Linked DNA regions of Neurospora crassa OR74A. The protein of the gene in region 1 interacts with the protein of each later gene in a pairwise test. Links are inferred from orthologs where the notes say so. Each region holds a gene or a part of one and is shown on either strand. Other genes may lie near its edges.

What was found.
Region 2: the proteins of NCU04652 (region 1) and NCU09461 interact in binary tests that used the Saccharomyces cerevisiae proteins (3 or more experiments, as listed by UniProt). The link is inferred for Neurospora crassa OR74A from reciprocal best matches to the Saccharomyces cerevisiae genes APL5 and APS3.

The regions. Positions count from the first base shown.
Region 1 is NC_026505.1:1,328,724-1,333,321, forward strand, and holds the start of NCU04652 (AP-3 complex subunit delta), read right to left. Parts: upstream 2,818-4,598; 5' UTR 2,379-2,817; coding exon 2,377-2,378; intron 2,322-2,376; coding exon 2,203-2,321; intron 2,144-2,202; coding exon 1,563-2,143; intron 1,510-1,562; coding exon 1,284-1,509; intron 1,226-1,283; coding exon 1-1,225. Other genes in the region: NCU04651 (tetratricopeptide repeat domain-containing protein), read left to right, coding at 3,414-3,749, 3,822-4,028, 4,086-4,244, 4,303-4,533. UniProt on the Saccharomyces cerevisiae protein: Part of the AP-3 complex, an adaptor-related complex which is not clathrin-associated. The complex is associated with the Golgi region as well as more peripheral structures.
Region 2 is NC_026502.1:4,358,585-4,362,679, forward strand, and holds NCU09461 (AP-3 complex subunit sigma), read left to right. Parts: upstream 1-1,300; 5' UTR 1,301-1,517; coding exon 1,518-1,586; intron 1,587-1,662; coding exon 1,663-2,178; 3' UTR 2,179-2,490; coding exon of another isoform or gene 2,491-2,613; 3' UTR 2,614-2,670; coding exon of another isoform or gene 2,671-2,732; 3' UTR 2,733-2,784; coding exon of another isoform or gene 2,785-3,064; 3' UTR 3,065-3,386; downstream 3,387-4,095. Other genes in the region: NCU09462 (hypothetical protein), read right to left, coding at 2,491-2,613, 2,671-2,732, 2,785-3,064; leu-6 (leucyl-tRNA synthetase), read left to right, coding at 3,888-4,095. UniProt on the Saccharomyces cerevisiae protein: Part of the AP-3 complex, an adaptor-related complex which is not clathrin-associated. The complex is associated with the Golgi region as well as more peripheral structures.

The DNA.
Region 1 (4,598 bases):
GGTGCTGCCTTTTCGTTGTAGTAAGCTGAGAATTCGTCGTCTTCCTGGATGGGAAGCATCAATGAGTCCGCTTGCGCCAGCAGGCTGCTGAGGTTGGGATGAATAGGCTCGTCCAGGTCTAGGCCCTCTGGCATCGGAACATTCAGCTGAGCGCCAACTGCGACGGAGTTCAGCTCCCAACCCTGGAAGAGAGAGGGTATCGCCTGTGTGAGAAGGAGGGGCGGGTCTTGTTCGAGTTCGTCCGTTGATGACGCCTGTGCCGATGCTGCCTCGGCGGTGAGCTTCAAGAGCTCAGTAAACTCAACCGCGCGTTCCTGGACTTCAAGAGATGGATGAAGCACTAGGGGCTCGTATGTATGGATGACTCGCGCCATGAGCAGAGATACCATGGACTTTCGTTCTGCTGTCCAGTATGTTTGGTCGTTACCAGCAATCAGCGCGAACAGCTTCATGGAGGCCTGCAGGCAGGTTGCGAGAACCTCGGAGGGTCTGATACGCGGTATTAACTGTAACAGGTGATTGAGTGTGTCGCTTGGATTTGAGAGCAGATTTGCGTATTCTCCGGCGATCCAGGCAACAGGCTTCAGTGAACCTGATATCACTTGGTGTGACGTGGTCTCCATCGATAGCTTTGCAATAATAAGCTCGGCAGCCCGGACAGCGGCAGCTCTCACTGCTTTCACCTTAACGGCCACGTTTCTGAGCTCATTACCAATACTCTCCGAAATATCGGCCGTGGTAGATTTCGGCCCCAGTGCCATGCCGTCCGAGTCAAGCTCCTTACGAGACGCCGGAGCAATCCGGATAAGTTGTGTAAGTACGTCGATGTACCAGTCAAAGTCGACCACACTGGAGTAGTTGTTTTGCGAGCACATCTTGAGGATCCTGCCAATAACGTCAATCGTATAGTCTTCGGGGAGAGGAGGCGCCTCATCTCGTTTCCGGGACCGTCGTTCAGCGCCCATCTCTTCACTCGAGTCGGTTGACAGATCATCCAACTGATCATTGTTCGGGTTTGTGGACGTTTTCAGCTGCCTCATAAGCCGGCTGACAATGGATACCAGGTTATCGCTGCTGACCATCCCTTGTACCAGGTCTAGAGCCTTGATCCTGATGGTTATGTCTTCGCTGTCGATGCACTCCATGATCACGTCCTCTTGTTGGGCAACAAGGAACGGGTGCGTGACCACGATTCTGTTGAAGGCTAACAGAGCCACATATTTCACTGAGCGAATAACATGGTGAGAATTGTACAGACAAAGGCAAGCGGTAAAGGTACTCACAGTTGGCATCACCGTTGAAAGTAATCATGCCTCGAAGCTTTGAAACACACAGACTAGCAATCTCTTCCCTGCCATCATCTTCAGAGTCTCCAAGGATTCCTCCTTGTATGATGCCGTTGATACATTCGTATAACAGGGACATTGCTGGCGTTGTTCGGATCAGATCGGTCAGGGGCGGCAGAAGCTTGCGAACGAGACGCGGCTCTAGAGGGGTGAGGGTTGCAAACTGCGCAAGTTAGCAAAGACGCCGTCAAGTGGGAACTCCAGGTTTCCTCCTACCAGTTTGATCAACTTTATCGCCATCCAGTTGTTACCCCCATCTACCAAGAGCTCGAACAGGCGCGGAGCCAGGGGCAAGAAATCCTGGGGTCTCCGCCAGCCGAGTTCACACACCACGTTCACAATGGCTGCTGTCACGCTCGGATCCTCGTGCTTGTCCATAAGTCGCTCCTTAATTTTTGGCCATGCTGCTCGGAGGGTCTCTGGGTATACCAGGGCTAGTCTGTATAGTGTAACAATGGTCTTCTTCCTGATAGCCGAATGCGAGTGACTGAGACGCGGCAGTAGGTCTGCTAGTACAGAAAGGGCAAGGGAGGGCGTGATGATATGCGGCAGCGCAGCAATGGGGAGTGAGATGACGATCGGGGAGGAGGCCGAGAGGTCCTTCTTGAGGAGGTTGGTGGCTAGCATGAGCACTTCGGTATCGGTCTTGAAGCTCTGGACGGCGCCGAGATATCCAACGCGCTTCTGGTGGTATTTTGGCGAGGACATGACCTCGAGGACATGGAAGGAAGCCCACGACATGTCATGGCCGTTCATCTCGAGGTAGATGATCTTGAGGAGGGCCGTGGCCTTGACATCTTTGCGCATGTGTTAGCGAAAGCAACTGAACGGGCGCAACAACACAAGAGGGACGAACCCATGTCTTGGCTTTTGATCTCGGAACGACATTCTTTCAGACAGTTCTGGATGTACTCCTTTTCGTTTCCCTTGTGGTTACGCAGACCTCGGATGAGGTCGTACAGCGACTTTTCGAACCTAGGGGGCATCAGCTAAGTCGACTCGTGCAGACGGAAGCCGGAGCTTGACGCACATGGTTGCGGTTGTGGTGGCCCAACTGCCGATGTTCCCAGTGTTGTGAGGACTATATCGAAGTTGGGGAGGCCTGACGCTGGCGGCGCAAGGGTAGCAATCGGTTCGCGTAGAACTTCCACTTGGGTGACAGGAATCGAAAGTGTTTACAAGTCTAGTATAAGCTGGAGGTATAGCGAGGCGACGGGGACGAGGTGTTGCTGTGTCTGGACTGAACCGCAACTCGACGCATCTTGCCGCGGCCGTAGTTGGGGGAGCTGGGAGATGCTGTGGGCGCCACCCGGGTCGAGGGTTGTAAGTAAATGCGCTTCTCGTCGTCACGCCGTTGGGTTTACTTGTCGTCGTCGTCGTCGTCGGCGTCGTCGTCGAAACACGCTTGACGGATCTTGGTTTGGAAAGGCAATGGCCGTCAACGACGCTGCTGCTGGAGATCCGATGTCCGTGGTGGGTTCACAAATGTGGCACCCTCCCCGTCCTGGTCGTGCTATCTCACGTCACTGGCTGCCCTCTGAACTGACTGACCTCTCTCTGCCTGCCTGTGCTTTGAGGTGAGGATGCAGTGGTACAGTTTGCGACTGTCCCCTAAAACCCCAGATTGCACTGTCTGTCCAGCTGTTTTACCGCTGAAAGAGCAGCTATGACACAGTGAGAGCTCCAAACGAGAAGCTCCACATGCTTGCCCCACCTACCTCTACCCATCCATGGAGTGCCTGGGCGGGCATTCAGCTCCAGCTTGCAGTGCTCGCCGCGCGACGTCTACCAGCGTCCAGCATTGTACAGATTGACGCCAGAGAAGTGGAAGCTTCAGTTTCCCCGGCCATCAACTTCTCCTCTTCCATCATTTGACGACAGCTTCCAGACCACAAGCTAAAGCCGAGACTTCGATTGCCTCCATCATACTTGCGCCAATTGTCAATCAGCGGTTTACAAAGTCACGACATACTGGTGGTTCCTTTCAACCTTGACGAGCGACGTGATTCTTGGTCCGGTGCGAACCCCGACCACTATACGATTATCCAACTAAATCGAATATACACAATGGCGCCCTCCCTGCTCTTCAACCCGGCCAAGCTCCCTCCTTCGGAAGCTCTCCAACTCGCACAGCAAGCTCCCGTTGTCTTGCAAGGATCGTCATCAGAGACGGTGGACCAATGGGCAACATACGAGAATCTGCTGCTAGCGTGCCTCCGAACCGGCGATGATGAAGCGGCCGCAAAATGTATGGATCAGCTGGAGGCACGGTTTGGCCCCGACAATGAGAGAGTCATGGCTTTGAGGGGCTTGTTGTCCGAGGCCCAGGCCGAGAACAACGGAGAGCTGGAAGCGGTGCTCAAGCAGTACGATGCCATTCTGGAAGGAAACAGCACCAATCTCGTGGGTCCTGACCGTTTACGCCAACTGTTCTCGGACGGCAGATTTGCTAACCCGCCATGTCTACGTCTACAGCCTATCACAAAGCGCCGGATCGCCCTCCTACGATCCATGGGTCGCGTCTCGGATGCCGCAACGGCTCTTGTACAACTCCTCGACTTCTCCCCAACCGATGCCGAGGCCTGGTCTGAGCTGTCGGATCTCTACTTCACACAAGGGCTATACTCTCAGGCCATCTACGCCCTGGAAGAGGTCCTCCTTCTGTCGCCCAATGCCTGGAACGTATGCGCTCCTCCCTCACCCAACAGCCCAAGCCCTATGCTAATGTAGCCCATCTAGATACATGCACGACTGGGAGAGGTGCAGTACATGGCTGCCACGACTTCGGGAAGTGGCGGTGGATCGCAGCAAAAGTACTTGGCCGAGGCGCTCAAGCGGTTTGCTCGGAGCATTGAACTGTGCGACGACTATCTCCGTGGCTACTATGGGCTGAAGCTAGTAAGTTTCCGATAGCCGTCATGGGCGAACAAAATAATATGTGCTGACCGTCTGCCAGGTCACCACGAGGCTTCTCAAGGAACAGGCCAAACAGGCCAAGCAGACTGACGATGGCGAGTTCACTCTGCCTGATCCCAAGACAATTGAGCGTCTCGATGAGCTTGCGACCGCCAAGCTATCGGAAATCGTTCGTCATAGCACTCTGAAGGACAGAGGCTGGCGCGGCTATGACGAACGTGAGGTTGCAGCTGCCCGTGAACTGCTCTCACAAAATGGAATTGAGAGGTGAGATGTGCTGCCATTGAACGAGGCAAACGGTACGGCGCTCAGTCCAGTGACCGATTCGATATGTTC
Region 2 (4,095 bases), on another chromosome or scaffold:
GGCAACCGCCGGCGGATCTAATAGACCCGCGGCAGGCAGCGTTCTGACCAATCAACTGCCGGCAATAGTCGGCTTGCCGGCGGTAATAACAGCGTACGGCAGTCTTAGAAGCTACTGTACGCTGGCACCAGGCACAAGGCACACAGGCTAACCCTGTGACAAAAGTTATATTAATATAATAAATATAGGTCTTATTTTATTTTATATTTTACTAATTTCCCTATTTAATAAATTGTTAATTTAATAAATACTTTCTTCGAGTAAGATTTTACACTTGTACTTCTTATATTAATATAAAATTCTCCAAATATATTTTCTTATAGTAATTTTACACTAATATTCTATAATAACCTTTAAAATTTTACAATTATAGTTTCCTAGTATATATAGTTATTTATAAAGGCTTAAAGTTATATCTTATTATCTATACTTAATATTAAACTCTCTCTTTATAACTGGAAAAAAATAAACTTTTTCTTCAGAAATAACTATTTGGCTTAGTGGCTAAGTAGTTAATGAAGTAGTTCTTCATTATTAGATCCGTGTTCGATTCCTTGTTGTAGTCAACATTTTTGGATATACTCTTATATATACTTAAATTTATTTGGAAAAAGAAATCTAGTATTAACCTTCTTACTTATAATATAAATTATAATTATATTTTTTGAATAAGTAAATTTAAGTTCAAAATCAATTTATTCTATTAAAATAGTCCTAATTAATGGAAAATCATTTTACATTTTAAAATATACTTTAATATTAAAATAAAGTATTCGAGAAGCTAATCTTGTTATAAGAAAATAAATATTAATATATATTAATTTTTTTATTAAACTTTTATCTTATTCCAAAATTATCTTTTTCAAAAATGATAAACTTTTACAGTCTACGAATTTCTAGTCGAACTGATCCATGGATCAGTTTCAGGTCAAAATGAAAAATAACTGTAAAATTCTTCCCAAGATGGTTTTCTACAACCCGGGTGGCGCGCTATGGTTCAGTTCCCCGGCTTCCACTTTATGTAACAGACGGAACTGAAAGCAGAGCGCTGGCAGGCACGGGGTCATGCCTTAGCAGCGGCGGAAAGCTCTAGCTGAGGGTCAGTTAATATGGCAATGCAAAGGGACATGCAAGTACGGCAGAATCTTCGCATTGATGCAGGTACCCTCTTAACGCTTGCTCCCCGCCGTTTGCTGCCGTCTGCTAGGCGCGTGCCTCTGCGCATTTAGCGGGCGCACGTCATCGCACCCCCACCACACTTTGATCGGCCGAGTCCAGATTAATATCCACTTTTGCCTCCCGCAACTGCAGCCAAAGAGCCAGGGCACTGCGCTGGGCTCTGTGCGACTGCCGCCGCCAAGTGCAACAAAGTGTCCAACGAGGTTCTCATTTATTTTCTTTTCTTCAGTTTCAACCAAGTCACCCTCTCGCTGTTTTTGAAGCGCGCTGGTCGTTGCCGTCTTTTTTTCAACACCGTCCACTTCCAGGTTCCCAAACTGTCACACCGCGCGCCCACCATGATCAACGCATTCCTCGTCTTCAACGGCCAAGGCCAACCGCGCCTCACCAAATTCTACACCCAACTTGTATGTTCCCCTTCTACTTCCATCGCCTACCCTTCCTCATCACAGCCACTGCTGACACCTCTCTTCCCATTTGTAGGACACATCAATCCAACAACGACTCATCTCCGAGATCTTCACCCTCGTTGCCAACCGTCCAAAGGGCTCCTGCAACTTCCTCCCCCTCCCGCCCCTCCTCGCCGCCTCCAGCACCTCCACCTCCTCGTCCGAACCACACAACGACGTCCCCTCCCTTGTAACCTACCGCAACTATGCTACCCTCTATTTCATCATCATCTCAACCTCGACCGAGTCGCCACTGGCTCTTATCGATCTGATTCAAGTATATGTCGAATCTCTGGACAGGTTGTTTGAGAATGTGTGCGAGTTGGATCTGATCTTCAACTTTGAGACACTGCATGCAACACTGGGCGAGATGATTGTGGGAGGAGTGGTGATTGAGACAAATATGGAGAAGATTGTGCAGGGCGTGAGAGCGCAGGGGACGGTGGCCAAGAGGCCGGTTAACGAGAGTAGGGGAGGCGGCATGGGGCTAGGGAGTGGACTGGGGGCTGGGTTGGGAATGGGAGGGAATTTTGTCTGGAGTGGGCGATGAGGTTCTAGGAGCCAGCATGGTCTTTACATTAATGCGCTCCGGTGTTCGGGGTCCCTAGGGGGTGGCTTTGTGCGTGAAGAGACTGGAAGCTGCCATCCGGGACCGAAGCTCATACAGCCTTCGAGTAACCGTCATTCAAAGAAGGCGACAAGATGCCACATAAGCATGATACCAACAAGGAGCAGAAACCATAGATACCCACACCTCCCCAAGGTATTACAACGCCAAACACCCACAAAAGGATACTATACAAAGCATGATACAATCGGCTTGGTCCTGTCAATCCCAAGCCTCAGCCCTGTCTGTCCAACACTACATCTGCCGAGGACGGGACCCGCCTTGGACGCTAGCCTGCGACTCCTGGGACTGGATCCTCGCGACGGGCTTGGGAGCTTCATATTCGAAGCCAAGGGAGTTCCAGAACCACTGTCGGAACTGAGCATGGAAGTTAGGCACATATGGGTCATCAAGAAGTGAAGTGGGCAAACATACCTCATAGAAAGGCTGCCTCTCGTCCTTCCAGTCCGCAAATAGGAGGCAGTAAATGAGGACAACTAGATCACCATCAACATCAGGTCATCAAATCACACCCAGTGGAATACCCACAACTAATAGTCCCCAACTGCGCCAACTGCACCATCTTGTTCCATCTCGGCCTCTGCGCAATGTGGTGAATCTTCCTCTTGTACCGCTTCTCGTACTTGAGCTGTTCCTGCGGGCTCATGGTCTTGAAATCGGGCGGCCATGTTTTCTTGGCCGGGTACTGTGTGAGAAGGGCGGGACTGATGTGGGGGAGCTTGACAAAGGCTTGTGGCAGCTCGCTGGAATTGGCGGCTGTTGATGTTGATGCCTTTTGGGCGGCTTGCCGGATGGCTGTTCGGAACATTGTTTGTCGTTGTCTGTTAATAAGTGAGGAGTTCGTTGTTGTAAGTGACGATAATGACGATACGTGTACGCGAGTAGTCGTAACAATAGGGTTCAGAGGGGAGTCCCGTTAGTGACAGGGGAGACTGGTCATTGGGGACAGAGTGAGATGGATCATATGGAGCTCATGATGGAGTTGATCACTGCATGGATCCAAGGCCATTTCGAGGTTGCCCGATAAGATAAGAGGTCAGTTTGTGGCTGGTGAGTAACTTCAGCAGATTGACTAGGTCTACACTACTGTACGTAGCTCTTACTTAGCCACCGACTAAAATGATAGAGCCCGGTACATAAGCCACAGTCCGCCAAGCGATGTCGCGGCAAGGGACTGGAGTCAGTAGATGCCGCCGTCTTGCCGTCGGGCGGTGCCTGAGAGGGACTGGACTGCACTGACCCCGCGAAATGCCCGGGCGTTACAGTGCTTCAGTTCAGTTCCGTTGCCGTGCCCCTCCAAACCAAAGAATCTGGATTGCTGGAGGCGACTGACTGAGCGAGTTCCCTTCCGTTGCCGCCGTTGTCGTCCCAAAATTTCCGGAATCTGACTCAATTCCACAGGTCAGTCATCCCGTCAAACAACCCAAGCAGCAGCAGCACTCTCCTCTAGTATTCTAGCTCTGGCTTCAGTTCTTGTCGCCTCGCTGTGCTGTGCTTGTAGGTACAACAGTCAATGCCGAGTTTCTAACACTTTCAGTTTGCGAAACAGAGAATTCGCAGTCCGGGTCGCCGACTTCGGTCTTTTCTTTTCTTCTTCACCACCAAGACCAGACATCACCGCATAAACAAACATGGCCGACACAGCAGCCGTCGCCAAGGGCGTCGAGAACCTCTCCGTCTCCGCCTCCAAGACCAAGGAGCTCAAGGGCACCGAAAAGAGAGACACCCTCATCGAGATCGAGAAGAGGTACCAGCAAAAATGGGAGCAGGAGGGCGTCTTCGAGGTCGATGCCCCCTCCACCGCCGAGTTCCCTCTCGACGCCATTACCCCCGATGAGC